3 linked regions of the Mus musculus genome follow. The protein of the gene in region 1 interacts with the protein of each later gene in a pairwise test. Links are inferred from orthologs where the notes say so. Each region holds a gene or a part of one and is shown in the gene's direction. Other genes may lie near its edges. The genes, in order: Mia2, Cchcr1 and Ttc23l.

Region 1 (10,145 bases):
TTCTGTTTTCTCACAAGAGATGACTTAAAAACACACAGTAGCTTGTGTGTTGCTCTACCACAGCACCTACGTTTAGATTTATTCTTCACTCACTTCATGATATTGGATAGCTTAGCCTGTGTCTACTGTGGCTTATGTGCAAATATTAAGGTGATAATGTCACCGGTCCCAGAGAGCTGGTGTAAAGTTGAGATCACATCAAGAACTACTCACATTATCTAGGCACTTCAAATAATATGTGGATCATAGTAATAGTTATTATGTTTTAACTATTATTCTAACTGTGACTTCATAACAACACTGAAGATTTTTTAACATACCCAAAGGAATAGCTTTTCTGATAATTTCATCATATTTCAAAATCATACTTTTGACATAAATTGATAATGCTTTTTATATAACTATACATCTTCTTTTTAATGTCACAGGTATGGCAATTGTTTCTGGTTAATGTATTTGAAGTTTTTTCCCCCAAAAACAATAAATTCATTTTTGATTATGCGTTTAACTTTTAAAATTACATTTATCATTTACACATATACCCTTTCTGTCAGTCGGTGTGAGTGTGTGTGTGTGTGTGTGTGTGTGTGTGTGTGTGTGTGTGTGTGTGAATGAGTGTAGATCAGACTGCCACTTCTGGAATCAAGTCTGTCCTTTTACCAAGTGGGTCCTGGGTAATATTAAACTCAGGTTATCAGGCTTCATGATAAGAGTACTTATTAACTGAGCTATTTTCTGGCTCTATACCTTCTCTTTTGAAGGTAGAACCTGCATGTAGTAAATATTTGGTTTGTACTCATTGACTCATCTGCCTGAAGACTGTGGCAGAGATTGAGGTACCTTCTTTGGAGGCTTAAGAACCGTCAGACCGAGCACAGGGTGCCTTTAAGTGAGTCAGTTTCACATGGGCTACTTTATAACACATTGGTCCGGCTAAAACCCCTGTTAATTATTAAGCCCTTCGGTATCATCCGGCTACCTGACTCTGCAGACTGAGACCAGAGAGTGTTAATTTCTGAAGCTGGGCCAGCGCCCCATCGGGAAAATGTAGCTACGAAGGGATTGAAGAATACACAGCTTTTTCCTCTTGCGCTACGGAAGGGAGCGTCGCATGGGCTGTTTTTCTGGCATGCCTGCCGCCTAACATTCTAACGCTTGTCCAGGATCCTTGGTGGCTTGTTTAGGCATGGCGGAAGTCAGTGTTCAAAGAATCCTTCTTTTGGTTGTTTCTCTGGCCAAGTGTCTGGAGGGTACAAAGTTGCTGGCACACCTTAAGAAGTGTGGTGACTTGGAATGTGAAAGTAAGTTCGCTTTTCTTATTCTCTCTTACACTGAGTTCTAAAATCACATTAAATCTCACGGTGAACTTGTGGGGCAAAAAGTCAATGTTAGTAGTATTGATGGCTATTTGAATTATAAAGTATAGCTTCAGGCGAAAAAGGGAATTCTAGAAGCAAAGCATTTTGTGGCAGCATAATTATAAATTTTACACATTTAATAAATTTAATAATTTATATGTTAACATAAGCATAAAGACAAAAATTACACTGATAGAACTATGGTAGAGATAGTATTAATTCGTGTGTCAAAAACTAAATAACCAGCTTTTTAGCCATTTTTGTTTTGTTTTGTTTTGTTTTGTTTTGTTTTGTTTTGTTTTAAAGATAATTGAGTTGTTTGGAAAGCCATCGGGCAGTTTGTTAACTCACTGTCGATGAAGCTCATATGGGTTAGTTTCTATTTCACAATCAGAACTTTCCGATTCTCATGAGTTTCCCCCAAAATGTTTTTACTTCAAACCATCATTTTGAAAACTGTTTAGATGTCCAAATTTTATCAAATGCTAATCATTTGTGTCAGTTTATTATGTAAAAATGCTAAAATAAGTGTTTCAATGTGTGTGTATGATGTATAACATTTAATATGAAACTTTCTTAAGTCTCTATGAAGAGACATTAATTTCTACTTTGTTTATTTTTATTTTATATATATGGGTATTTTGCATGTATGTATATATATATATATATATATATATACACACACATACATACATATACATACACCACATATGTGCCTAGTGCTCATAGAACCCAGAAGAGGGCATTGGATTCCCTGGAACTTGAATTACAGACAGTTACGAGCTTCCACATAGTGCTGGGAACTGAACGTGGGTCTGCAAGAGGATTAGAGGCTCTTAACCACTTCGTCATGTCCCCAGCCCCAAGAACTTAATTTTTTGGTATCTACATAACTGCAAAATAATTTTATTCTGCCAAGTATAATGGCACCAGGAGGCAGAAGTAGGCAGAGCTCTAGTTCCAGGCCAGCTTGATCTACACAATGAGTTCTTTGTCTCAAAAGGACAACAGGAAAAAAGATATCCTCATCTTAGAGTTCCTGAAAAAATTCCTATCTTTTCAAGATGAAAATTATGTCTAATTTTGCAAAATGTAAATTAAAATGCAATATGTGACACAAAAATGTCTAAGACATGCAAGTATATTTAATGATTTATTTACCTCTGTTTTGTGTGTATTAGTGTATGCCTCCACGCATGTAAAGGCATTGGGTGTGTGCCTGGTGCCCCAGAGGCCAGAGAGCATTCTGACTAGACTAGACTAGAGCCACAAATGACAATGAGTCACAATGTGGGTGCTGGGAATTGGATGCAGGTCCTCTAGAGGAGCAGCCAGTGTTCCCATCTGCTGAGTCACTTCTCCAGCCCCAGGAATTTTTGTTTTGTTTTGTTTTTGTTTTTTGTTTTTTTGTTTGTTTGTTTTGTTTTCGAGACAGGGTTTCTCTGTGTAGCCCTGGCTGTCCTGGAACTCACTCTGTAGACCAGGCTGGCCTCGAACTCAGAAATCCACTTGCCTCTGCCTCACAAGTGCTGGGATTAAAGGCATGTGTCACCACTGCCCAGCAGAAATATTTTTATAAGTAAAAACCATGTGCGTTTATCTTTCCTTCCTTCCTTCCTTCCTTCCTTACTTCCTTCCTTCCTTCCTTCCTTCCTCCCTCCCTCCCTCCCTCCCTCCCTTCCTTCCTTCCTTCCTTCCTTCTTTCCTTCCTTCCTCCCTTCCTCCCTCCCTCCCTCCCTCCCTTCCTCCCTTCCTCCCTTCCTCCCTCCCTCCTCCCCCCTTCCTTCCTTTCTTTCTTTAACTGTCCCTCTGTAAACCAGGCTGGCCTTCATCTCATAGAGATCAACCTGCCCCTGGCTCCCGTGCTGGGATTAAAGGCATATACCAGAGTATGCTCTGCCAACTACATGGTATTTTATAGCAAAGATCCTTTAATTTTCCCTCTAATACTGCTTTTTATATTTTAATAGTATTTTTTTTTACTCATTCTTTGGTCATTTCATACATTGAAATGTGCTTTGATCATGTCTTTCTATATCCCACTTCCAACCTGCAGGTCGTACAGCATCTTCTCTCCTAATTCATAGATTTAAAAAGATTTTTTAAAAAGTTATTTTAAAAAATGTATTCATTTTATTTTATATGTGAGTGTTCTCCCTCCCCGCCTCCCCCCAGTTTCTTTGTGCAACCCTGCTGTCCTTGAACTCACTCTATAAACCAGGCTGGCCTTGAACTCAGAGATCTGCCTGCTTCTGCCTCCCAAGTGCTGTTATATTTGAGTATTTTGTCTGCATGTATGTCTGCATGCCATGTGCATGCTTGGTGCTGGCAGAGGCCAGAAGAGGGCATTTTGGAAGCCCCTGGAATTAGAGTTTCAGATAGTTTTGAAGTACTGTGTGAGTGTGGAGAAAAATGATTCTCCCCCGTTGGGAGCCATGAATTCAGTAGCTCCTCCGATAGCTGTGGTGGCTGTGAGCCCCCTCCCTGCTCTGTGCTGGAATGTCAATGGCTTGAGCTTGTAGACGTCTTTGGTAGGCAACCACAGCTTCTGTGAGTCTGTAAGCCTGTCATGGTCCAGAAGACATCGTTTCTAAAAATACCAAATATGACTAGTTTAAATGTAAACATTTCACAAGTGCTATTTTTTATGAGTAATCATTTTTTCTTAACCTTTCAGAAAAGTCATTCAGTGTATTGAGAATTTGTTACCATGGTACTTTGCTTTCCCACTTTGCGTTATTATCAGCACTTTAATAGCCTTAGAGTCCAACAGAAATTCAGATTTGGAGTAACTTACAATGCAATTTTGACTCTTATTCAAGGATTTAATCAGTATGATTTTATGTTTTACACATTAGCACTATAATATTTATATGATATGCATGTTACTTTAGGCATCAAAGGCTAAATCAATCATACATAGTTTACTCAGTTACTGAGGGCCTACAATGTCTCTAGGGGTATGTGTTCTAACACAATGTATTTTATTTTATTATTTTTTTAAAAAGATTTATTTATTTATTTATTATATGTAAGTGCACTGTAGCTGTCTTCAGACGCACCAGAAGAGGGCATCAGATCTCATTACAGATGGTTGTGAGCCACCATGTGGTTACTGGGATTTGAACTCAGGACCTTCGGAAGAACAGTCGGTGCCCTTACCCATTGAGCCATCTCACCAGCCCAGTCTATTTTATTACTTTTAAAATACTTTGTGGGGGCTGGTTCACTGTAGCTGAAGACAGCTACAGTGTACTTATATTAATAATAAATAAATCTTTAAAAAATAAAGTAATAAAGTGAAATGAAAGCAGTTTCTTTTTCTGTAGGAATAGTCATCTTATTTAATAACAACAAAACAAATCAAGGAGGAAGAAGGTGATGAAATTGTAATAATGACAGATAATGCCAGAGTTCAGACTAGACAGGAAGCAACACATGAGTTAAACATGAAGAGAGGAAGAATAGAAATAGAAGCTTAGGATAAGGACCATGATGTTGCAGAAAAAAAAAAAAATCTCAGGGCAGAGCTAGGCAACCAGAGCTGTATGACCCACCCTTTGAACCTCAACTAAAGACTCAATCGTTAGAATGAAGTGGGGTGATTTACCCTATAGATATGCATTGAGGATTCAACAGAATATAAATATAATTTGGAAACAGAAAGAAAGCCAGAGTCTCCTACACACCCAAGAACAGTAGTGACTTACTCCGAGAACAAGAGATTTGCAAGCTGGAGTGTGTTCCAGCCTTGAATCTGTGCAAAGGAGAGGTTGCTTAAAATAGGGAAGGACAGGGCCTTCAGAGAGAGGGACCTGCCTTTAAGAGTGCTTACTGCTTTTTCAGAGGGTCTAGGTTCAGTTCCCAGTACCCACAGGGCAGCTAACAACCACGAGTTCCAGAGGATCTACTACCCTCTCTGGACTTAATGGGCACCAGGCTGACATACAGTGCACATACATACACGCAAGCAAATCACTCAAATACATAAAGTAAAAATAATATAAAAACATCTTCGAAATGTAAAATAAAATAAAGGGAGAGCCTGTGAGAGGAGTCAGAGGGTACAGGCACTTGCTGCCAAACCTGACAACCTGAGTTTGATAACCAGGACTCACAGGACAGAAGGTGAGAACTGACTCCCAAAAGTTAGTTGTACTCTGAAATGTGTACTACATGTACACACACACACACACACACACACACACACACACACACAAATTTAAACTTAAAAATTAGGTAAGTGGGGCTGGAAGATGGCTCAGCAGTTAAGAGCACTGACTGGGCCGGGCATGGTGGCACATGCCTGCACTCGGGAGGCACAGGCAGGCGGATTTCTGAGTTCGAGGCCAGCCTGGTCTACAAAGTGAGTTCTAGGACAGCTAGGACTATACAGGGCTATCTGTAATGGGATCCTATGCTCTCTTCTGGTGTGTCTGAAGACAGCAACAGTGTAGTCACGTACATGAAATAAATAAAAAGATCTCTAAAACAATAGGTAAGTGGGCTCAGGTTATGAATAATCTTCATATGCCAAAAACATTTGGGCTTGAATTTGTATATAGTATAAAGTATATTTTAGTTTTCCTTCCTTCCTTTCTTTCTTTTTTGTTTTTGTTTGTTTTTTAAAGATTTATTTATTTATTATATTTACATATATAAGTAAGTACACTGTAGCTGTCCTCAGATACTCCAGAAGAGGGCATCAGATTTCATTACGGATGGTTGTGAGCCACCATGTGGTTGCTGGGATTTGAACTCAGGACCTTCAGAAGAGCAGTTGGCGCTCTTAACCACTGAGCCATCTCACCAGCCCCAGATTTATTTATTATTATATCTAAGTACACTGTAGCTGTCTTCAGATGTACCAAAAGAGGGCGTCAGATCTCATTACAGGTGGTTGTGAGCCCCATGTGGTTGCTGGTATTTGAACTCAGGACCTTCAGAATAGCAGTTGGTGAGCCATCTCTCCAGCCTGTGTTGTTTGTTTTTTGAGACAGAGTTTTTCTGTGTAGTCCTGGCTGTCCTGGAACTCACTCTATAGACCAGGCTGGTCTTGAGCTCAGAAATTTGCCTGCCTCTGCCTCCCAAGTGCTGGGATTAAAGGTGTATGCCACCAATGCCTGGCCTATATTAGTTTTTGAGAACATAACCAATATTGACAAACGAGGATTTCAAACTATTATTATTAATATTATTGAAATATATCAAACTCCTGACATTCTCCTCATCTTCATGAGTGCTGGTGACTACAAGTGTGAGCCATCAGGCCCACCTCTTACTTCAAAACTTAAAGGATGGATTGAAGGAAAGCAAAATGGATGGAGAAGTCAAATATTATGGTGGTATATATCTATAATCTCAGCAGCAGGAGAAGCTGAAGCAGGAAGATTTTAAGGTTATGTTCAGCCTGGGATACATAGCAAGACTTACTATCAATAAGTAAACGAGAAGCAGTGACATTTTAAAGTGTGAGCTTTCCTGTATGTGTCTATACAGCTTTGATCAGCCGAGTCTTAGCCCTGAGAGATTACACAGGACCCGACTGTCGGTACCTGAACTTCACTACGGGAGAAGAGATATCTGTTTATGTTAAACTTGGAGGAGACAGAGAAGATTTGTGGGCAGGAAGCGTAAGTATTTAGTTTTAAGAACTAAACGCAGAATAAATGTCCAACGCAGACAAGGATACGTGCTGTTAAAGGAACTCTTATTTAACAACTTCAACTCATCATATTTAAGCAAACAAAAAAAGTGATCACATGCATGCCTTTAATCCAAGCCCTCAGGGTGTCTGAGCACAAAGCCAGCCTGATCTACATAGCACGTTACAGACATTTAGTGATTGCTCGACAATTTCTATAGAAGAGGTTTTTGACCCTGAGATGAGGACTAAAGGAGGGCCTTGCAATTATTTTTTACACAACCCACATAATTTTCAGCGTAGAGGACATTATTATTTAGAAGGCATGCTGACAAATGTTATGGCAACCTCAGCATCTCTGTGCTATTAGTGACTGAGTTTGAGAGAGACTGGGAAGGTGTTTTATCAGATTCCAAAGCATGTCTGCCTGAACAGAGAGAGGGCTGAGGTGTGTTGGACAGACACGTCAGCAGAAAGGTTGGTACGGTAGGGAAGAGAGGTGTATAAACTTTTCATGGAAAATAAAATATTAACTGGTTGATCCTTTTATTTGGCCAAAGTAAAAGAAGCCCAAACTATCTCTTGGGATAATAATTCATGTTTTCAGTTGAAAAGATTTATATCTCTGGTGTGTACTATGCTTTGTAACGATGGCATGCTTTGATAGATGAGTTTACTTCCAAGCTGATAGACTCTCACATCGTTCTCATGCTGTGTGTACATCAGGATCTTCCATAGTGTAGCCTCTGTGCTCACTGTCTGAATGAACAGCTTCGTTTTTGAGACAGTTTCACATAGCTCAGGTCATTGTTAAACTCCCAATGTCTGTAGCCGAGGATGAGTCTGAATGTCTCTCTTAGTCAGGGTTTCTATTCCTGGACAAAACATTATGACCACGAAGCAAATTGGGGAGGAAAGGGGTTTATTCAGCTTACATTTCCACATTGCTGTTCATCACTGAAAGAAGTCAGGACTGGAACTCAAGCAGGTCAGGAAGCAGGAGCTGATGCAGAGGCCATGGAGGGGTGTTCTTTACTGGCTTGCTTCTCCTGGCTTGCTCAGCCTGCTCTCTTAAAGAACCAAGACTACCAGCCCAGAGATGGCACCACCCACAAGGGGACCTCCTCCTTGATCACTAATTGAGAAAATGCCTTACAGCTGGATCTCATGGAGGCATTTCCCCAACTGAAGCTCCTTTCTCTGCGATAACTCCAGCTTGTGTCAAGTTGACACAAAATTAGCCGGTACAATGCCCCATCCTCCTGAGTGTTGATGTCGCTGGCATACAACAGTACCCATCTGAAGGCACACACTGCATTTGAAACTGTCCTCTTCCCACCAGGGGATGTGTAACTAAACCTTTCCCATGCCAGATTTGACTTCTCCTTATTGCTTATGATGGTTTTAAAATACCGGTCTCTGTTTTGAATGCATCACAGAAATCTGACACAGGTATAAGAAAATGACAGAGTATATGTCATGAGAAACAAAGAAAACAATTTTGATTTATTTGTTTACTAAGTATGAAAATAATAATTCTACACAAAACAGTGTTTAATGGATAAAGTCTTGGGGAAAGTCTCAGCTGCCATTAGCATTTGGTACCTTAAGTGATTAGTCTATTTGCTTCTCTGCTTTTTGTCTAAGCAGAAATAGAGATGGTTAGTCTGTGCTCGTAACTGTTGAAGAACTCACACTGTGGACTCATAGACTATTTCCAAATAGTTGTAAATGAAGACTAACTGGAGAGCTAGAAAAATCATATTTAATATGTGATGGTGTTGGCTCAGAAGACAGAAAATGTTTGTGAAACTTTAATAGGAATAAGAAGGAGGGGCTCTGAGTGGTTGGATGCTGACCTCACTCACAGGGGGGAGGGGGGACATCCTACATGTGCTTGAACTGGGTCAAGAGAATCTGTTACTAGGTTAGCCCAGAAAAGCCAAAAGGAACTGCATGCTCTCTTGGGGACACATGGACCTTAACTACCTTGAGAAATCTATCTGCCACTTCCGGGAGTCTAAATTCCTTTCTTGAATGTGACATCTTGACACCTCAGAGTTTGCAATCGTTCTGTCTTCCTGAATTGTCACCTGAGTTGTTCCTTTTTGATATCTCACATCTAAACATGTAAATCTGCATAACCTAGGCAAGGAAGGTCCTAGAGCACGGGGGTGAGGGTGGGGGATGGGCTGGAACAGTGGTCCAGCGGTGAAGAGCATGTGCTACACTGCCAGAAGACCTGGTTCCCAGTAACCACATGACAGTTCACAACTGTCTGTCATTCCAGGTCTAGGCCATCTGACAGTTTCTTCAGGTCTCCACAGGCACTACAGAAAAAACACCCATACACATAAAATAGAAATATATAAATCTTGCCAGACAGTGGTGGCACACACCTTTAATCCCAGCACTTGGGAGGCAGAGACAGGCAGATCTCTGTGAGTATTGATGCCAGTCAGGTCTACACAGTGAGTTTCAGGACAGCCAAGGCTATAAACAGAAACCTTGTCTTGAAATACACACACACACACACACACACACACACACACACACACACACACACACACGAGAATAACAGGAGTATATAACACAACAATGGGGCCTCACTCCTGTTCTTGTTATTGTTGTAGGTTTAGTTTGTCACCGGGGCATGAACCCAGAACCTAAGCAAGAACTCTATCACCTAACTATATCCCCAGTCTCCACTCATGATTTTTAGATGGCATTTTTGATAGCCAATTAATGTTTTGTGATTTAATATAGCTAAAAGCCAAGGTCACAGGACAAAATGAGGCCCAATAGCTATTCTTGCCTCATTCACTTTTCTCTTAAAATCTTTGTTCTTTGTTTTGATAGAAAGGAAAAGACTTTGGATTTTTTCCCAGAGATGCAGTCGAGATTGAAGAGGTGTTCATATCTGAAGAAGTCGAAATGCCAACTAAAGTGAGTAAATTCATTTTCAGCAATTTAGTTGAGTTTAAAAGTTCTTGACAAAAAAATGGTTTCCTTGATATAAATGTTCACTGGTTGTGTACCTCACTCAGTGAACCACAAAGGACAGTTATTAAGAGCTTGTCCTTGGCATCGTTTGGGTATGTGAATACAATGAGATAAAACAGACTTGATGACCATTAAAGACT
Region 2 (10,145 bases), on another chromosome or scaffold:
AGTGCCTGTAATCCCAGTTACGCCTGGGAAAGAGTCTTAGAGAAGACAGATGCCAGCCTGCTGACATAGTGCAAGGTAGGGAAGTCCCCTGGCAACTGAGAAATCAGGAAGGGAAGTGGAAGACACCATCGGGAAACGTGAGTGACTTTGTCATCATAGTCGTCTTTTTCTTCTTCTTCTCCTCCTCCTCCTCCTCCTCCCTCCTCCTTCTCCTCCTCCTCCTCCCTCCTCCTTCTCCTCCTTCTCCTCCTCCTCCTCCTCCTCCCTTCTCCCCTTTCCCCTCCCCCTCCTCCTTTTCCTTCTGTTGCATTTATATACTTACTCATGTGGATATGCGTGCGCACACATGCATGCCTTGGTGCACAGGGAGGATCCCAAGTCTGGGGCTAGCCTCTGCTATGTACTGGGTCAGCCTGGGCTGCATGAGACCCTGTCTCAAACAAGATGAAACAACAAAAGTGTAAAAAAAAAAAAAAAATCACTTGGCTTTGCCACCATCTTGGTAGCAGAAGCTCTTTGCCCTCACCTAGAATTCAGACATCCTCCAACTCAAAACTTGAAGCCCTCCGATGTGCTTGTTTGACGTTTAACCCATCTGCCTGCTTATGTGTGGATCTCTGGAGAGATGGTGTTCTTCTTCGCCTGATCTCACTAGCCCTTAGGTCGACTGAGCCCAGAAAGTGGATGACCACGTGTGCTTAGTAGGGACTTGGTGGTTGATTGACAGTGGTGTGGTAGATGAATATATCCTCCTGCCTCAGCTCAGCCCCTTGCTTCCACCCTCCCAGCAGCTCACCTTTTCCCCTCCTGTCTTTGAAGGTCTCTGGAGCTGGGGTTCTCCAGTGCCCTGAGCCAGCAGGCCGAGCTGATCTCACGGCAGCTCCAAGAGTTGCGGCGGCTGGAGGAGGAAGTCCGGTCCCTACGGGAGACCTCGCTGCAGCAGAAGATGAGGTTGGAGACTCAGGCCGTGGAGCTGGATGCTCTGGCAGTGGCAGAGAAGGCCGGCCAAGCTGAGGCCGAGGGCCTGCGCACCGCCTTGGCCGGAGCTGAAATGGTTCGGAAGAACCTGGAAGAGGCGAAGCACAAGGAGCTGGAGGAGATTCAGAGCCTGCACCAAGAGCAGGTGAACACGGGGGTGGGAGGGGCTTAGAAGCATATCAGGGCACGCCGTCCAGTAAATTGCAAGGAGCCTCGGGAGCAGCAGACCCGTGGAGGTGGGGGAAGCCCCCCAAAATACTTGGGTATTTTGGTTTCCCTCAGGCTGCACCTGTTACTTGGGAGTCAGTGAGCTCGTAACCTTCAATACCCTCAGAAGTAGTATTTCTCCATATTCTGTGCCAGGTACCCTTCTGGGAACGTGGTGGAGGGAAGGATTGGGGTCGGGGTAGGATGGGGCAGTGGTATGGGTCCCAGGGAACACTGGGAAAGGTAGATTTTTTTCAGTCAGGCTACCCAGTGCTTCTCTTTGCCGTCTTTGAGGTAGGATCTGGCTAGGGATTCAAGTTGTCTGAGTCTGCTCTCATGAATGGCGCCCATAGCCTGCCTGCATGGGACACACTTAATGCAGCTATAGCCAGTTGCAACTGGGAAAGTGCTGAAGCATAGTCTAGGGACAGAGAGGGCCACCCCAGGCTGGTGGAGCGCTCAGGAAGAGAGGCTTTAAAGATGAGAGTATCTTCTTCGTAATATTGGAGCAGGGACAGCCTTGCTGCCTGTGAGTTACCCGTAGGAAGGCTCTCTGAATCTGTCGCTTGACTAAGCAAGCGCCCTACTCTGATGTTCGATAACCTCTATTAGTGGTACCATATTCAGAAGTCGACTCTAGACAGACATTGTGAGTGAGATAGACTGCTGGAATGTCAAAAGATGCTGGAGAGATGGCTCAGTGGTTAAGAGCACTGGCTGCTCTTCCAGAGGTCCTGAACCACATGGTGGCTCACAACCATCTGTAATGGGATCCGATGCCCTTTTCTGGTATTTCTAAAGACAGCTACAGTGTATTCATATATATAAAATAAATAATTCTTTTTTTGTTTTTTGGTTTTTCGAGACAGGGTTTCTTTGTGTAGCCCTGGCTGTCCTGGAACTCACTCTGTAGACCAGGCTGGCCTCGAACTCAGAAATCCGCCTGTCTCTGCCTCCCAAGTGCTGGGATTAAAGGTGTGCGCCACCACACCCGGCAAAATAAATAATTCTTAAAAAAAAAAAAAAAAGTCAGATAGCCATTGGCAGGTTCTAAGTAACTGAGGCTGTAGCTCAGCGGCAGAGTGCCTGCCTGCTCTCTGCGCAAGGCTACAGGTACAGCCCCCCCCCCCCCGTGTCCCCAGAAAAGGAAAGGTTTTTGTTGTCTGGCTGGCCCTGGCTCTTGCTTCTGCCTCCCACGTGTTGGGATCAAAGGTGTGCGACACCACACCAAGCTTCAGAAAAAACAAAACAAAAACAGGGCAATAACAGAGTCAGGTTTGTACGTCTAAAAACACCTGTGCTCGACTTTGCAAACTTGATACTGGTAATGGAGACAGGGCTGGCAGGGCTGACCTACCCTGTAGGAGGAAGCAGGGCATGCCCCTTACCATTGGCTCCACAGCTCCATCTGCTCTGCTGCCCCTGGCGCTGTTTGGGGTCTAGTGAGAAAGACCCTCCCTCCCCAGAGCATCCTCATGATCACACAGAAGTAGGGTCCGACCTGCTGCTAGAGCTCAGAAAGCTGCCAGCAGGGAAAGGGCAGATGAGGGGTCTCCCTGAGGGTTGAACAGCGCCTGAGCAGGGAGAGCCACAGGAGAGAGCTCGGCAAGTGTGCTGTTCCTGCAGTAGGCTTTGTGGGTGTAGCAAATCTGTTTTCTGTGGGTAGAGGGCTATTAAGGTAGGGTCTTGATCTGTAGCCCTGGCTGGCCTTGAGCTTGAGGAAGTTCTCCCAACTCAGCCTCCCAAGTACTAGAATTCTATTGCTCTGATAAAGCACTGACAGAAAGCAACTTTGGGAAGGAAGGGAAGGGCTTCTGGCTTATCTCACCCTGCTCCTAGTCCATTGAGGGAAGCTGAGGCCATGGAGGGGCCCTGCTCACTGGCTTGCTCCTCATGGCTTGGTCAGCCTGCTTTCCTATGTAACTCAGGACCACCTATCTAGGGGTGGTACCATCCTACTGTGGGCCGGGGTCCTTGCAAATCAATCACGCATCAGAGAGAATATCTCATAGGCTTGCCTACAGGATGATCTAATGGATGCATGATCTAATGGATGCATTTTCTCAACTGAGTTACCCTTCTCAAATAACTCCAGCTCATGTCAGATTGACCAAAGAGGAGCCAGCACGTGGGGTTGAAGACATTTGTTCCCACCATGCACTGAGGAGTGTGTGTACATTCAGGCGTGGGTCTGTGGGTGAGGGTGTGAGGGTGCCTGGCACATGTGTGGGGGTCAGAGGACAAACTCGGGTGTGGGTCTCAAGCTCCTTTCACTCAAGACAAGGTCTTTTTTTAAATTAATTAATTAATTAATTAATTTATTTATTTATTTTTGGTTTTTCGAGACAGGGTTTTTCTGTGTAGCCCTGGCTGTCCTGGGACTCACTCTGTAGACCAGGCTGGCCTCGAACTCAGAAATTTGCCTGCCTCTGTCTCCCAATGGTGGCACATAACTTTAATCCCAGCACTCGGGAGGCAAAGGCAGATGGATTTCTGAGTTCCAGGCCAGCCTGATCTACAAAGTGAGTTCCAGGACAGCCAGGGCTACACAGAGAAACCCTGTCTCAAAACAACAACAACAACAACAAAAAAGTGCTGGGATTAAAGGTGTGCGCCACCATGCCAGACTGACAGGGTCTTTTATTGACCCGCAACTTTATCATGTAGGCCAGACCAGGAGCTTCAGGGATCTGCCCGTGTCTCCTTCCATCCCACAGAGCAGGGGTGATTACAGGTGTATGCTGGCCTGTCTAGGTTTTTCACAAAGGTTTTGGGGCTCCTAACTCAAGTCTCTACAGCCTGAAAGACTCAGGCATGAGGTGGGGTCCTTTACTCTCGCTGTTAGCATGAACACGGAGAGACCGGGAAGTGAACTGGCAGGAGCTGATGTTTAAAACTAACTGTGGAGAACCAGAGGCCAAGATTTCCTCCATTGCTTACAGCAGCATGATCAGTTAGATGGCTCTCTGAGAGACAAGGCCCCAAGGTGGGGTGAGCCGCCCTGCCCCCTGAAGATTTATTTATGCTTGTGAGTGTGTGTTGTGTCAGTGAGTGTATACCACATGTGTGAGGGCCTCAGAGGCCAGAAGAGGACATTGGATCCTCTGAACTGCGCGTTGGGTGCTGGGAACTGAGCTTGGGTCTGCCCTGCTGAGCTCTCCAGCCCCTCAGGCTGGCCCTCTCTGAGCATGCTCCTCCTCCACAGCTGTCCTCCCTGACACAGGCTCACCAGAAGGCTCTCGACAGTCTGGCCAGCAAGGCCGAGGGCTTGGAGAAGTCTCTGAATAGCCTGGAAACGAAACGGGCAGGGGAAGCCAAGCAGCTGGCTATGGCCCAGAAGGAGGCGGACATGCTCAGGAACCAGCTGAGGTCAGTGGGCTGCGCAGGGCTGTTAGTGAGGGGTGCGGCATTGCCAGGCTGTTCTACCGAGGACTGGTCCATTTCTGTTTCAATCTTAGCAAGACCCAAGAAGAGCTGGAAGCTCAGGTGACCTTGGTGGAGAGTCTGAGGAAGTATGTGGGGGAACAAGTTCTTCCTGAGTTTCCTAGCCAGGAATGGGAGCTGGAACGAAAGGAGCTTCTAGACACCTTGAAGGTGAGAGAAAAGACTCCAGGGATCAGGGCATGACCTGGGAGGAGAGAGCACAGTGCCCTAGAGGGGAAGCCATGCTGCCCTTGAGACGGCTCACAGCCTGAGGTAGCATGGAGATCCTGACTGGTGGAGTTCCTTCTCCCAGCACTTGAAGGAGGATCGGGCTGACCTTCAGGCCACCGTGGAGTTACTGCAGGTACGAGTACAGAGCCTCACACACATGCTCGCCCTGCAGGAAGAGGAGCTGACCAGGAAGGTAGGACCCTCCCTCATCTTCCAGACCCTGCCCTGCTGCAGGCCTTCCCTTTCTGGGGGTAGTGGGTGGTATGCCACCAAGACCCCTAAACTCCTCACTGTGGACGGCAGGACAGGCAGGACAAAGGTCCCCACTTTCTTAGAACATCCATCTCCCTTCTTCCCCCGTACAGATTCAGCCTTTAGATCCCTTGGAACCCGAGTTTCCTAAGAAGTGCCGCTCGCTGCTGCGCAACTGGCGGGAGAAGGTATTTGCCCTCATGGTGCAGCTCAAAGCCCAGGACCTGCAGCACAGGGACTCCACGTCGCAGCTGAGGATCCAGGTCAGGGGCTGCGTCTCTGTCACTGTCATCCCGCACCCCGTGTCTCTCACAGTGATGACAGTTAGTCTCGGGGTGACTGCCACGTGCAGGGCACAGAGCCCCGAGCCGAGGAGTCCCCGTTCTCACGGAGCTTGAGTTCTAGAAGGATACGTAAAAAGATGGGTAGGCGTCACATTGTCATAAGTGCTGCGGAAAAGCAGTGGTGACAGACTGAGGTGGATGGATAGGATGGTCAGGGACGGCCTCTGAGGCCACAACGTCCACCAGGGCATGGCCACGGGCACGGTCAGGGGAAGGCTTGGGTCAGGAGGGTTTCCCAAAGTGTGGGCTTGTGCATCCTGAGTCGGAGAGAAGGTTCAAGACAGAGTTTCTATGTTCTGTGGCTGCCCTGGAACTCACTCTGTAGACTGTTCTGACCTATAAGTGATTGCCTGTCTCTCCCTCATGCTGGAATTAAAGACACGCCCCACCACACCGGGTTTTTTATTTTCTTTTTGTTTTTTTAGTACTTATTAATTTAGTTGGGTGTGGTGATACACTTCAATTCCAGCACTTAGGAGGCAGAGGCCGAGGCAGGAGGATCTCTGAATCTGTGGCCAGCCTGGTCTACATAGTCAGTTCCAGGACAGCCAGGGCTACATAGTGAAACCCTGTCTTAGAAAGAAATAAAAGGTGTGCTTATTTTGTTTTGTGTGTATAAATGTTTTGCCTGCGTGTATGTATGTGTACCATGTGCCCACGGAAGTCAGAAGGTGTTTGCTCTCCGAGAACTGGAGTTACAGATGGTTATGAGCTATCATGTGGGAAAGGGGAATGGAACTCTGCAGGAACAACCAGCGTTCTTAGCCACTGGGCCGTCTCTGCAGCCCGACTCCGGAGACTCCCGCCCTGTCTCCTTCATTCCCCTCCCACCCGTGTTCCCATAGCTTTGGCTCTCCATTTCCTTGCTTAGCTCCTTCTGCTTCCGTAGGTAGCAGAGCTCCAGGAGCAAGTGACCTCCCAAAGCCAGGAGCAGGCCATCTTGCAGCGTGCCCTGCAAGACAAAACTGCACAGGTGGAGGTGGAGCGGATGAGCACCAAGGTCTGAGGGTGCTCCCTAAGGGAGGAGGGTGAAGAAGACCCTAGCCCGGGTGTGTGGGCCACGTGCCAGGGAGGGAGGTCTACAAGAAAAAGTACACACAAAGCTGCATCCTTCCCAGAGCCTGCAGATGGAGCTGGATCAGGCTCAGGAGGCCAGGCGGAGGCAGGAACAGCAGATAGCCTCTGCTGAAGAGCAGTTGAAGTTCGTGGTCGGTGCTATGAACAGGTATCTGTTGCCTGGAAGAGCCTCGGGGAAGAGGGGCAGGAGGGTGCAGGGTGGAGGGGTGTCACCTCTGTATCACACCAGCATCACCCGCAGTGAACTGAGCTGTGGTTGGGCCACAGCAGAGGATCCTGCTTCCTGCACTTCAGTCTAGTGCGCTCTGAAGCTAAGTAGGACAGCTAGGCGGGGCTGTGGCTTCAGAGCTCAGGGATGGGAACTGGAGCCATGTGCAGTCCTTCCTCCCTCTCTTCCTCCTTCCTTCCTTTGCACACTCGCCTGGTCTGGCTGGGGGAGGCACCCTAATTGTACAGCTGGTCTGGTCTGTAGCTCAGTAGTAGAGCGCTTGCCTAGCATTCAGGTATCTCTGCTTTCAATCCCTGGCACCAGAATAAAAAGATGAAACTTTTTAACTTGCACAGAGTCAGACTAGTTTGGAAGAACCAACTAGTTTGGAAGATTCAAAGCACTGCATGTGCCTGCCTCCAGGAGGGTGTTGGGGTGTTGCTTATGGGGTACCTGCCTCCAGCAGGATGTTGGGGTATGGTGTATGGGGTGCCTGCCTCCAGGAGGGTGTTGGAGTGTTGTATATGGGGTGCCTGCCTCCAGGAGGGCGTTGGGGTGTGGTGCATGGGTTTTACCTTCTGCCAGGTCACAGACATGGTTTTTAATAAAAGTCACCAGAAAGCCCTTCTAGGCTCTGAACACCGTATGCCCCAGGTGAGGCAGATAGTGTCAGGTCCCAAGTGCCCGGAGCCTGAGTGGTAGCCTACAGGTACAGGTCTCAGAGTTTAGTCAGCCTCTGGTACCCGCTGTTGTAGAATTGTTGCTGAGCCCTTTCCTGGGCTACAGAATGTAGATCCAGGTAGGAGTTGAGCCCATGGACTTTAATGGTTCCTCACTGCAGGTTATTATATACATTGCAGGCCAAGCATGATGGTGAAGTTCTAGCCACCCTGTCTTAACCCTAATCGTCTCCCATCCTCTTCCACCCATACAAAAAGACTGTAAGGGACCAAATTAGACACTGTAGGTTTTGTGGCAGGAGTTCATTTTCAGCTGGATGTTTTTAACCTGACAGTTACCAAGCTTAAGCACTTAGATTCTCTTTAGGTTTGCTAAGGAGCTTGACTAACCTGCAGGGTCTGCCAAGGCACTGCCTCTCCTGGTGACTTCCGTTTCTCCTTTGCTTGCTACTTAACAACCCACCTCCCCGCTCATGTAACAGGACAGGACAGATGTGTCCTCTGCACCAGACCCTGCAGGGCCTTCAGGACAGATGTGTCCTCTGCATCAGACCCTGCAGGTCTTGAAGGGATGAGGGGAGGGAGGACAGTGAGCAGCCTACATCTTCTTCAGCACTCAGGCCAAACTCCAAAGCACCATGACCAGGATGGATCAGGCTGTAGCCCGGATTCCCAGCCTCAGCAACCGACTCAGCTATGCTGTCCGGAAGGTCCACACCATTAAGGGTACGTAGAGCAACTGTGGGGTTTCCGGCCTGGCCCTCTTGCTCTTAGCCCTGGATCTAACCTCACATTTATCCTCTGTTGCCTTGGTAACTGCCACTCAGTCCTGTGCTCCCACCACCCTCTGTCCATGTATACTCATCTCCCTGTCCTCTCTTCTCAGGTTTGATGGCTCGAAAGGTGGCTCTTGCTCAGTTGCGCGTGGAGAGGTAAAGTCCAGACTAGTTGAGGTAAAGGGGGGGTATGGATGTTGGGGGCAATCTATTGGCTGCTAGGACCCAGAGGGACCAAGGAGGGGTGGAGGCACCAAGCAGGTAGCTGCTGGGGGAATTTTCTCTGACTCTTGTCATTGCTATCCCAGCTCTCCCCCATCGGAAGCCGCACCCCCACTGGACACAGACCTGAGCGTTGAGCTGGAACAGCTACGGGAAGAACGGAACCGCCTGGATGCAGAGCTGCAGCTGAGTGCCCACCTGATCCAGCAGGAGGTGGGCCGGGCACGGGAGCAAGGTATGCCTGCGTGGGGCTGGAGGAGACTCTCTACCATCTGAGGCTCAGGTGCCAGCAAGAGGTCTTGTGTGACCACGGTTTCCTTTTAGGGGAGGTCGAGCGCCGACGGTTGATAGAGGTGGCCCAGCAGCTGGAGCAGGAGCTGCAGCGTGCCCAGGAATCCCTGGCCAGCGTTGGGCAGCAGTTGGAGGCAGCACGTCGGGGCCAGCAGGAGAGCACGGAGGAAGCTGCCAGCCTCCGTCAGGAGCTGACACAGCAGCAGGAAATCTACGGGCAAGGTGTGGGGGCGTGGCGGTGTGTGCGACCCTGTGGGATGGGCAGCTCTCCCTGACACTGTCTCGTACCCTCACCTGCAGCCCTGCAAGAGAAGGTGGCCGAGGTGGAAACTCGGCTTCGGGAACAGCTCTCAGACACAAAGAGGAGGCTGAACGAGGCCCGAAGGGAGCAGGCCAAGGCTGGTGAGATGTGCCAGGAAGAAGGCAGCACTGAGACACAGGGCTGGTAACCCCTCCCCAGCCCACTTACCTTTTTTGGTTTTTTTGTTTTTGTTTTTTTGTTTGTTTGTTTGTTTGTTTTCGAGACAGGGTTTCTCTGTTTCTCCTGGTTGTCCTGGAACTCACTCTGTAGACCAGGCTGGCCTCGAACTCAGAAATCCTCCTGCCTCTGCCTCCCGAGTGCTGGGATTAAAGGCGTGCGCCACCACACCCGGCACACCTACCTTTTTTGAAGCTTTTTGTTGACAAGTGTATGTAGCGAAGTAACGTAGGACTGACATGAATGAGTTCTTATGCAGTGAACACACAGCAGCCAGCACCGGATCAGGAACAACTCTGGCTCCAGGCCTGCATCACTGCCCCTCAACGGACGCCACTGCTGTGTCCCCACTTCTGGCGACTGCCCTCCCCAGAAACTTAACACTTGGATGAGTTAGAGGAGCAGGATGAATGTCCATGTCTTCCCTGAGTAGAACACAGTCAACACCCCTGCTGGCTCGCCTGTGCTCCCATGGTTACACGAGTAGGCATTCGAGTTGTGTAAGTTGCAGCAGACATGATGGTTTAGCTGCACACCCCACAGCCAGAAAATTATCTAATCGTGATACCTAGCGTCGTAAGAACATGAGCCCTAGCCACACATGGTGGCACTTGCCTGTCACTCCAGCACTTGAAAATAAGAGGCAGGATAGATTAGGGCTAGCCTGGACAACATAGGGAAACCTGTCTCAAAACAACATCAACAGGTCACATGAGCACTAACTATAGGAGATGTGACTCCGGCGCCCCTGTCCACATCTTGCCTAAGGAGCTTGCATCAGGGATGGAGATAGTACTTAGGGCTCAGAGAGCTCAGGATCCCATGACATCAGCCCACCCGTGGTGTGGAAGAGTCCCTGAGAGACAGAGTTGAGAGCTCAAGTCTCATTTTGGGGCTCTGGGCTAACCCCCTCCCATCTCCTTAGTGGTTTCCTTGCGCCAGATCCAGCACAAAGCCACTCAGGAAAAGGAGCGCAAC
Region 3 (10,145 bases), on another chromosome or scaffold:
GGAACACAGGCAAATGCCCGTTTGCAAACACCACCTTGTTTTCCCAAGGGTCGCTTTTGTTAGCTTATAGGTTACTACGTCTGTATAGTGGCAGTTAGTGTGTCTGGCATCACCCTTGACGGTTTCACTGGCAAACAGGCCTACATCCACCTGCAGAAAGCAGAGAGAAATATGAAGGAACTGAAAGAATTAAACAACGGTAACATTTGTGGAATCCAAGTCTCGGAGAAAGACCTAACCATTGCTTTGGGGAGGTAAGATCAGCCATAAATAAGCAGAAACTTTCATGAATGAGATCTGAGGTTCTTTCTGGTTTGTGGCCTGATAAAAGGGGGCTGTGTTTAGACAAAAAGCCCAGAGGTTACCTAATAATAAAAGAGGTCACATTTATCAAATATGGATTCTGCAAGCTTACTATATACGCTGCCACGTTTAATCCTCTCACCTACCATGGAGGTGATCAGTATGATTGTGGTTTCCTCAGAGGAACAGCAAGAGACTGAACTGGCTAAGCAATTGGTATAATGCAGTGTCTCTCAACCTACATGTCAGATATAAACATTATAATTCATAAGAGTAACAAAATTACAGTTAAGAAGTAGCAATGTGCTGGGTGGTGGCGGCGCACACCTTTAATCCCAGCACTTGGGAGGCAGAGACAGGCAGATTTCTGAGTTTGAGGCCAGCCTGGTCTACAGTGAGTTCCAGGACAACCAGAGCTACACAGAGAAACCCTGTCTCATAAAAACAAAAAAAAGAAGGAGGAGGAGGAGGAGGAGGAGGAGGAGGAGGAGGAGGAGGAGGAGGAGGAGAAGGAGAAAGAGAAAGAAGAAGGAAGAAGAAGGGGGAGGAGGAGGAGGAGGAGGAGGAGGAGGAGGAGGAGGAAGAAGAAGAAGAAGAAGAAGAAGAAGAAGAAGAAGAAGAAGAAGAAGAAGAAGAAGAAAGAAAGAAAGAAAGAAAGAAAGAAAGAAAGAAAGAAAGAAAGAAAGAAAGAAAGAAAGAAAGAAAGAAAGAAAGAAAGGAAAGGAAGGAAGAAAGAAAGAAAGAAAGAAAGACAGCTGAGAACCACTGGTTTAAGGTAACTTAACTTTTACATATTAGATCTAAGGTCTGAACACACACACACACACACACACACACTCACACACACACTCACACACACACTCACACTCACACACACACTCACACTCACACAACACACTCACACACATACACACACACACACACACACACACACACACACACACTACATTACTTTGAGATTGATTATTTTTCTCAGTGGCCTCTAACTTTTACCATCAAATGTGGCATCCTAACAGGTAAGAAATGAACACTTAAGATATTTAATTGGAAATTATCAGAGCAATGTACATGTGTGCATTTTTTTAAGGAAAGTTGTGTTCTGTGTAGAAACAAAGTTCACAGGATTTGTTCGAGCCAGAACAAGACTTAAAACTGTTTTGAGTTAAGGATCCTCTGAGAATCGAGTATTAGAAAGGAAAGTGGGCCCATCAGATTAGCAGGAAAAAGAAATAAGGAGAGTTTACTGTTCCCCAGATTTTTCAAATATCTTCTCAACCTTGAAAGAAATCTCTTTCCAAAAACTCTAAGTACTTGGCACGGTAGGGCAGATGACCGAATGGTAAGTAAATGAAACCCAGGTGTCACATCTGCCTCCTAGAACACATGAATCTCAAAGGCAAGTGGGACACGGTGGGGACATGGTGGAATGTTCTCAACAAAATCAGACTGTTGACAAGTCCACAGGGCCATAGTTAGAATCTGGTGGATGTCTCCTGCTGTCACAGAGGGCCGCGCTTGAAGGCTTCTGCCCTCTGTGAAACGAAGCTGTGTTTCCTTTTCACAACCAGTCCTCGAGTGTGCTTTGCCTATTCACACCACAAGCTTTGAGTATCAGTTCATGTACATACTAAGTGTTACAATGCCTTCTAGGTTCTTATCACACACCACACCCTGTTCTGAGTGCTTTGAAACTGTATCCCATTCGGTTCTTGCTAAAACCTATAAGCCTGGTCTACAGAGTGAGTTCCAGGACAGCCAGGGCTACACAGAGAAACCCTGACTCAAAAAACCAAAAAAAAAAAAAAAAAAAAAAAAAAGCCCAACAACAACAAAAAAAGAATAGGCATTCTGAATATTTTTATTTTACAGAGAAGAAAACGGGGCACAGAAATACATACTAACTGAGGTGAGAGAGCAAGTTGAAGTGCTTGGCTTCTCACCGAGACGTCTGAATTCATAGGTCATTCTCTGCACCTTGCTGTTGTGTTTGATATGGATCAAATAGATAATAAAGACAAATACCTCGAAATGCCTTTTCCCACTGAAGGGTGGAGGCAATAAGGCGAGATTGTTCAGGCCAAACAGCTTCCTAACATCTCTCTCATAGCTCTTGGTGGGAGCCTCCCATTCTTAATGTCTAAAGAGTAAGGGAAACACCTTTGGTCAAAAGAAAACTTGTCTGCTTGATCGAAGAAATGACTGTGACAAAGAATGGTCAAACAGACAGAGAGCCTGCCACTGCTCTTTGTCACTCACTCTCATGTTCAGAAGAAGATAAGTCGTCCAGAAATGGCTGGTTCATAGGCCTCTTGCTCTCTTCAGGTGCAAATCACAAATATGCAACCCCGAGTCCTTTTTTTTTTTTTTTTAATTGGGGTAAGATCTCAACTCTGTTGCCTAGGATGCCCTCAAATTTACAATAATCCTCCTGCTCCTGCCTCATGAGTGCTGGAAATACAGGTGTGGGCCATCATATTTAGCCCAGAGTTTTGGGGGTTTACAAACCCAAAGGCTTTAAGCTGTAACAGCTAGTCTCATGGCTTTAGAAGCCAGTAGTTGGTAGCTCTAGATGCTCAGGCAGAGTCATACTGCTTTAGGTTTTGAGTTCCGTCAACCTTCAGCAGACAGTAGTTCATCTCCTGAGCCTCAGGTGCTAGGAACCTCACTCAGCCTTCAACACTGATGGCTCTCTAGCTCCCCTTTGTGATCAGGCTTGAAGGTCTTACCGTCCGTCCGTTTGCAGAGCCTCGTGACCTCTACAGCCTTAGCTCTCCATTTCCTAACCTAGGCTGTGCTCTCTGGAACTCTTCAGACACCTTTTTTTTTTTTTTTCCTTTTCTTTCTTTCTTTCTCCCTTTCTTTCTCCCTTTCTCTCTTTCTTTCTTTCTTTCTTTCTTTCTTTCTTTCTTTCTTTCTTTCTTTCTTTTTTTGGCTGATAGGTAGTCTCAGGCTGAGTATTACAGGGTCTTAGTGTCTTCTATTGTGATAAAGAGAACAGCTGGGTAATAAGAGACAATTCTGGAGAAGTCTCTATTGGGGCCTAATTTTGCAGGCCAGGATAAGCCCCAGAGAGAAGCCTCCAGCCTGACCTGAAAAAAAAAAAAAAGTAAAAAAAATTGTCTGCTTATGAGCCAGAAGAGGTGCTTAGCATGCTTGTACATGGCTTCTAATTCCATAGTCGCAGCCTGACACGTATACTTGCTAGTTCTGCCAGTCATGAGTCTCCCATGTAAACCTATCACGCGTGTTAAATATGTCTGCACTGTTAGACTCAGCAGCCTGTCAGGCACAAGCTTTCTGCTTGTCACTGGGGCTGGCACTTCACCCTACCTGCAATGAAGACTGTTCTTAACATGACAAGATCCACGGTCTACGCTTATGGGTAAATTATCCCGTCTTAGGAATTTCTGAGTGACATTTTCCCCCATGTGCGTTTCGATAGAAATTATACAAGAATAAACCACATCCATGGGTTAAGCCAATGATGGTAGTCTGTGGGATCTCGTGGGCAAAATTCAGGATAATGGGAGCTTATTTATAGCAAGCCTGGATCTTGAGCCAGTTGTCCAGATGACTGGGCTATGAAGACAAATTCTTTACTTCCTGGAATTAATTCCGTATGTGTCCGCAGAGTGGGTGACCTCTGAGTAACTTCCACCTTCGATTCTTTTCTCGCAGAGCCTCCTTGGCTATGCACAGGATGAACCTAGCCCTGGCGTACTTTGAGAAGGCAATCTGCGATGTTATCCTTGACAAGGGTCACAACACGTCAGAGCTGATTAGTTTGTACGAAGAAATCGCTCAGATCGAGCAGCTGAGGAAGAACCACAAACAGGCCATCCAGTACTTGCAGCAGGTTGGTTCGTTGGCAGGGTGGTCTTGATTGGCTCCGTTGGTTCTTTGGCAGGGTGGTCTTGATTGGCTCCGTTGGTTCTTTGGCAGGGTGGTCTTGTTTGGCTCCGTTGGTTCTTTGGCAGGGTGGTCTTGATTGGCTCCGTTGGTTCTTTGGCAGGGTGGTCTTGTTTGGCTCCAGGTCCTGTTGCTTCTCAGAACAGGGCATTGAGGTGGATCCCTTATTTTAACCCTAACATCTTAAGGGGGCAGAATCAGTTTCATGTTTACCTTAATTCTTTTTCAGTCCCATACAACAGCCTCCAACCTAAAAGTCCTGAGCAGAGGCCTCCAACTCTACAGAACATATATGTACTGTGAGCTGAGCAGGACATACCACATCCCTTCCTAGGCCTTTCGTCTTTGTTAGTGCTGGGAGGAAACCAAGCTTAAGTCTATCCCAAGGGGGAAAGAAAACACAGAGGCGCTGGACTCCAAGAAGACAAAAAGGGCAGACTGGTGAGAGAGTTCAGAGGTGTTTGACATGGAAGTCTGGTGACCAAAGTTTAATCCCGGGAACCCATGTGAAAGCAAAATAGGACAGTAGGTTCCACAGAGCAGCCCTCTGGCCTCCACAGGAGTCTGTACATGCGGATTTGCCCCCCCCACACACACACAGAGAGAGAGAGAGAGAGAGAGAGAGAGAGAGAGGGAGAGAGAGAGAGAGAGAGAGAGAGAATAATAGTAATAATAATAAATAAAATATTTTTTAAAACAACAGGGGTCTTTTAATTGAAAACCCATGATAGTTTGTTACAATGTGTCAGTTGCCCTTTAAGGTCATTGCAGATGGGTTTTATTTCCAAGTCTAAGGTTAAGGTCACAACACTTGGAGATAACTAACTGACAAATACTCAAACCAAAACATAGGCCTTACGATATGAAAACCATTTAAGGGCCTGGAGAGATGGTTAATGGTTAAGAGCATTGACTGCTCTTTCAGAGGTCCTAAGTTCAATTCCCAGGAACCACATGGTGGCTCACAACCATCTGTAATGGAACCCAATGCCCTCTTCTGGTGTGTCTGAAAACAGCTACAGTATACTCATATAAAACAAACAAACAAACAAATAAAAATCTTTTTAAAAAAGAAAAAGAAAAATGACTGGTTCCCTATTTAAAAAAGAAAAGAAAACCATTTAAGGCATTTCCATTTAAAATGCACTTTAAAATGTTAGTAAATTCATCTCTCTCTGCTGGATAAAAGGCTGCAGTGCTGCTGGGAGCCTCAGAGATCCTCACATGCGGGATTTGGTGCCCCAGAAAAGTAGTAGCACTGTCCCGCAGTCTATGTGAAAAGCCAGCTAGCAAAGCAGAGATGTGGCAAACAATTTGACAAGCCAAGATTATGAACACCAGGCAATGGGGAGAAACATTGGTACAGTGGTTCTCAGCCTTCCTAATGTTGTGACCCTTTAATACAGTTCCTCATGTTGTTGTGACCCCCCCCCCAACTATAAGATTGTTTCATTACTACTTCATAACTGTAATTTTGCTACTGTTATGAATCATAATGTAAATATCTCACATGTGGAATATCTGATATACAACCCCTGTGAAAGGGTCGTTCATGACCCGTAGTTTGAAAAGCATTGCATTAGAGCATTCTACCCTCCCTGGTGCCGGAGTCACTGCCTATGGAGAAAGACATGCACTTTGAATTTGAGGATCTCTTAAAAGTGTGGCCAAATTAGAATGAAGAAAGGAATCAACATAAATGTTTACAGCCACACCCAAAAAAGGAATTAAAAATTTATATAAAATGTTTTAACTATGTGCACCCAAGTATGTATTTCTTTTAATCCACAAGCAAAGACATCAAAAAAAATAGGCATCGTTGTGTAATCTCATTTTTATGGATCAAAAAAGTAAAGCGCAGAGGTAGAACTAACTCCACTGAAGTTATATGGCTAACAAGAGGCAAAGTGGAGACTTGGACTCAGAAAATCTGACCCAGGAGATTTTGTTAAAGAAGCAGTGTGCACACAATGTGCAGCATCCCGGCTCCGTAGCAGGTGGAGTGATAACAGCCCCTCTGTCTCCTTGAGATAAGCATGGGTTTGGCCAGTGAACTGCTATGCATGGGTGGCTCTTTCCTTGCTGCTGGCTGTGAGTCTGCTGTTTCCACTCTTCTGTCTTTCTAAGTGGCAGTCCTTGCCATTTAAATACGGATAAGATGAACAATACCACTAGCAATTATTATCTTACACTAATGGCTACTGAATGCCAGGTGGTATTGTAAGCACTTTACATCTGTTAATAAATTTAACATGTACAGCAACTGTTCATGACAAATATTGTTTCCATCATCTTTTTCTCCTATATTTGAAGAAGTTAAAGGACCACCCTGTATCATGATAAGTGGCTAAGCAGGCCTGGAGCTCTTAGCCCCTCCGTTTTTTGACTGTCTTTGACCCTGAACCCTTGTGATGCTGAGCTAAGGTCACAGTTACCTTCTGCTGGAGACCAAGTGGAATTAATGGGGCTGAGATTTACTAGCCACATGATAGACAGCGCCCAGCATTTACATAAGGTGCCTCCTTTAATGTTTCATGAGCCCTAATCACTAAGAAGCATACATTCCATCTGCATGAGAAGGTGAAGTGACTTTTTCAAGAACCATAGTAGGAAGTGACAGAGCTGGAACTCACAGTCCACTCTCATCCAAGTCCATGTTTAGCTGAGTTGGCTCCCAGTCAGCTAGCAAGTCTTACAGCTGCTGAAAAGGGCAGTGAAAGATTGTCACTGGGCATTGAGCTTGTCATGATTTCCAGACTGTCACTGAGTATTAATCTTGTCATGGTTTTCAGACTGTTGGGTACTGAGCTTGTCGTCATGGTTTCCCGACTGTCACTGGGTATTGAGTGTGTCGTGTTTGTTTTTTTTTTCTCCCCAGGCCTATTCTATCTGTGTTTCTTCGTTTTCTGAAGTCAGCCCCCAAACTGCTGAGGCGAGTGCTTTACTAGCGAAAGCGTATGCCATGTCTGGAGCATCCGAGTACAGGGGTAGGTAGAGGAGGTGGTATTGGCTTTATCGTCTTGTCCCAGTGACATGTGAGAAGCAAGCTGACAAACGATCTTCATATAAGTAAGAGCTTGCAGACAGCCACTCTCAATGGAAAGATAAAGCTGGTCACGATCCTGTGCAAAATCAGTTCCATAATTACACGTGATGATACACCTGATAACGTCTTCTGGAATTAACTGAGCACCAGAGCCAACGATTTCCTGTATTCCCTTACAGTGTCCACCACATTCACCTAAGCTGTAAAGATCACACGCGCTGTAAGCATGGCTTGCCGAAAGGCTCAGTAGTGAGGTGGCGTTGACTCCTCTCCCCCTGCTCTCAGCCTTGACTCCTTCCTTCCACCCTTACAAGAGAGAAGGATGGACCAACAAGAATTTCCTCGTCCTGAATTCACAGAGAATGTACTAGGATTTTTAGAGGGAAGCTAGGGATTTAATGGCTTCTCTGTCCAGTGAGGTTGTGGGTGTGGAACTGGAGAGACAGCTGAACTTGTGAGGTTCCACAGTGTGGCCTGGGCAGCCCAATGGCCATGGGAATGTGTGGTTAAAGGAACTCTGCTCTCTCTTGTCTCCAGAGAGGAATGTGGGCTTTGTGGAGAATGTGAAACGTTCCATGCCTTTCCCTTCTGCTTATGAAAGGGACCCACGCCGACGCGTGCTACTTTACAGTTGGAGAAAGGGCGAGGAGGCAGAGAGAGCCAGAACTGCAGAGGAAGTCTGCATGATGGTCTTCTCCTTTTGTTTTCCTCTGCTACTAAAAAAAAATTTGTTTTAAAGTTTGGTATTTTATTTTCTCAACACTGAATGATCATTGAAGACTTTCTGAGTTGGAGTTTTCCAACTAATACTTCTCTCCTTTTAAGATTTATGTATACTCAGTAGTGGGCCCATTCCACGTATAACAGATTTTCACAATTTGCAATGATAAGAAATCAGATATATTTGTAACTGTGAAATATTTAGCTTTTTATGTGAGAAAACTTCAATTCTAAGACAACTTACATTTTTCTCAATAATTTTAAGTACAACATGAATATTTATTTATTTTCCCTCTGTGTGTTTGCATGCTCACACTAGTGCAAAGGCATGCTTGCATGCATGATTGCACATGTGAATGCCATGGTACACATGTGAAAATCATAGGACAACTTGAAGGAATCAGTCCTTTTTTTTTATCATTTGAGACCTGGGGGTTGAACTCAGTTCACTGGGCTTAAAAGCAAGCTCCTTTGCCACTGAGCCATCTTGCCAGCCTCCTTACATACTTATTTTTAATATTAAAAATAAATGATGTAAAAATGTACATTGGAGAAAAACCAGTCTTTTCAAAATAAAGTGCTAGAAAAACTGGATTAGCTCACATGAAAGCTTGGGACGAAATCCCTATCTCTTCTTCTGTAAGAAAACTAACTCCAAACCCTTTATCCTTTGATCACTAAATACCTTTATAAAAGACAAAACTTTCAAACTGATAGAGGTCTAAGTAGGGAAAACACTTCAGGATACTAGCATAGTGAGCACTTTTGGAGTGTGCCTCCATTCACTCAGGTAACAACATCAACAAATGGCAAATGAGATTTCATCACACTGAAACACTGCAGAGGAAAGGAAAAGATTGAAGAGGCACCTGTCTTTGCTAGCTCTGCAACACATGGGATTAATATCTAGAATATAAAAGGAACTGAAAAAAAAAAAAGACAAAACCCAACCAACTCAATCCTAAATGAAATGCTAAGCCAAGAAGCAGGTCTTGAGCAATGAATACAGATTACAGAACGTGTTGGCTTCGTGGCAGTGAGCAGAGCTACCTTCCAACTGGCTGATAAACATGAAATAAGGTTCAACATCAGTAGCAGTCGGAGATGTGCACACAGAGCTGAATTGAGATTCCCTCACCCCAGTCAGAAGTTACGTGAAAGCAGGCTTTCTTTAAACCCCAGTAAAGCCAGAAAAGTTTTAAAATGTATATCTTCAAGCTTTATAAGTAAGTAAATTAAACTCCGGCTAGATTAAAACTTTAATCCTCCAAAAGTAAAAAGTTTCATGGATAAATATTAGTTCTAGAATAGAAAGAATTAAAACGAATTAAAATGAAACTCCAAGAAAGGGCTTTCTAAGTACATGTACACAACAAAAGAAGCTGAGAATTTTAATTACAAAAAGGTCTAAAACTCTATCAGGCAAACAGACAAGAACAGATGCTGGCAAGGATGTAGACAGTACTGGTAGAGATGGAAATAGAGAGACGTGCATGTGGGTGTTTATGCCAGTGCTATTCCTAATAGCTAAGTTATGAAACAGTCTAGGTGTCCATTGACAATAGAACGTTTTCAGCCATAAAAAAGAATGAAGCTATGTGCAGAATACTAGATATGACCAGAGGTCATCATCTTATGTGAATTGAGTCAGTATCAGAAAGACAAGTTTTATGTATTTTCTCCTATAGACTCATAAAATACGTACATAGTTTGTGAATGTAGAAACAAAAGTGTCTAAGAAAACAAAGGGGACTGTGGGGAGGGTACAGGACTCAATGGGGAGAGAGAGAGCCAGACGCATTAGCTACAGGTCTCATTGCTGTGACAAAATACCCAACAGCAGAGACTGGAGGAAGAGCTTGTTTGGGTGCACCGTTTCGGTTGAGTGTGTTCCATCCTAGCAGAGAATGTGTGGTGTCCTAGGGCAGGAACAGGAGGCATCTGGTGTCCACTGCATCTGTAGTCAGGAAGCAGGGAGCTGGTGAATGCCTGTCCTCAGCTCTCCTTCTTTTAATCTATCCTGGACCCCAGGCCATAGAGTGACACTGGCCGTGTTTAGAGCAGGCCTACTCATTGCAACTAGCCTGGGTTAGATGATTCCTCACAGGTGTGCCCAGAGGTTTGTTTCCATGGTGATCCATAGGCAGGTGGGAAGGATATGCTCAAA

Evidence for each region.
Region 2: the proteins of Mia2 (region 1) and Cchcr1 interact in binary tests that used the Homo sapiens proteins (3 or more experiments, as listed by UniProt). The link is inferred for Mus musculus from reciprocal best matches to the Homo sapiens genes MIA2 and CCHCR1.
Region 3: the proteins of Mia2 (region 1) and Ttc23l interact in binary tests that used the Homo sapiens proteins (3 or more experiments, as listed by UniProt). The two-hybrid records come from large-scale screens. The link is inferred for Mus musculus from reciprocal best matches to the Homo sapiens genes MIA2 and TTC23L.

The regions. Positions count from the first base shown.
Region 1 is NC_000078.6:59,094,614-59,104,758, forward strand, and holds the start of Mia2 (melanoma inhibitory activity protein 2 isoform 6 precursor), read left to right. Parts: upstream 1-977; 5' UTR 978-1,186; coding exon 1,187-1,301; intron 1,302-6,857; coding exon 6,858-6,991; intron 6,992-9,861; coding exon 9,862-9,948; intron 9,949-10,145. UniProt on the Homo sapiens protein: Plays a role in the transport of cargos that are too large to fit into COPII-coated vesicles and require specific mechanisms to be incorporated into membrane-bound carriers and exported from the endoplasmic reticulum.
Region 2 is NC_000083.6:35,520,056-35,530,200, forward strand, and holds part of Cchcr1 (coiled-coil alpha-helical rod protein 1), read left to right. Parts: exon of another isoform or gene 1-137; intron 138-819; coding exon 820-1,123; intron 1,124-4,390; coding exon 4,391-4,554; intron 4,555-4,643; coding exon 4,644-4,779; intron 4,780-4,921; coding exon 4,922-5,032; intron 5,033-5,204; coding exon 5,205-5,354; intron 5,355-6,324; coding exon 6,325-6,435; intron 6,436-6,553; coding exon 6,554-6,660; intron 6,661-8,013; coding exon 8,014-8,126; intron 8,127-8,286; coding exon 8,287-8,332; coding exon of another isoform or gene 8,333-8,336; exon of another isoform or gene 8,337-8,353; intron 8,354-8,484; coding exon 8,485-8,633; intron 8,634-8,722; coding exon 8,723-8,911; intron 8,912-8,989; coding exon 8,990-9,091; exon of another isoform or gene 9,092-10,092; coding exon 10,093-10,145. UniProt on the Homo sapiens protein: May be a regulator of keratinocyte proliferation or differentiation.
Region 3 is NC_000081.6:10,527,645-10,537,789, reverse strand, and holds part of Ttc23l (tetratricopeptide repeat protein 23-like), read left to right. Parts: intron 1-128; coding exon 129-254; intron 255-3,981; coding exon 3,982-4,159; intron 4,160-7,090; coding exon 7,091-7,199; coding exon of another isoform or gene 7,200-7,207; exon of another isoform or gene 7,208-7,378; intron 7,379-10,145.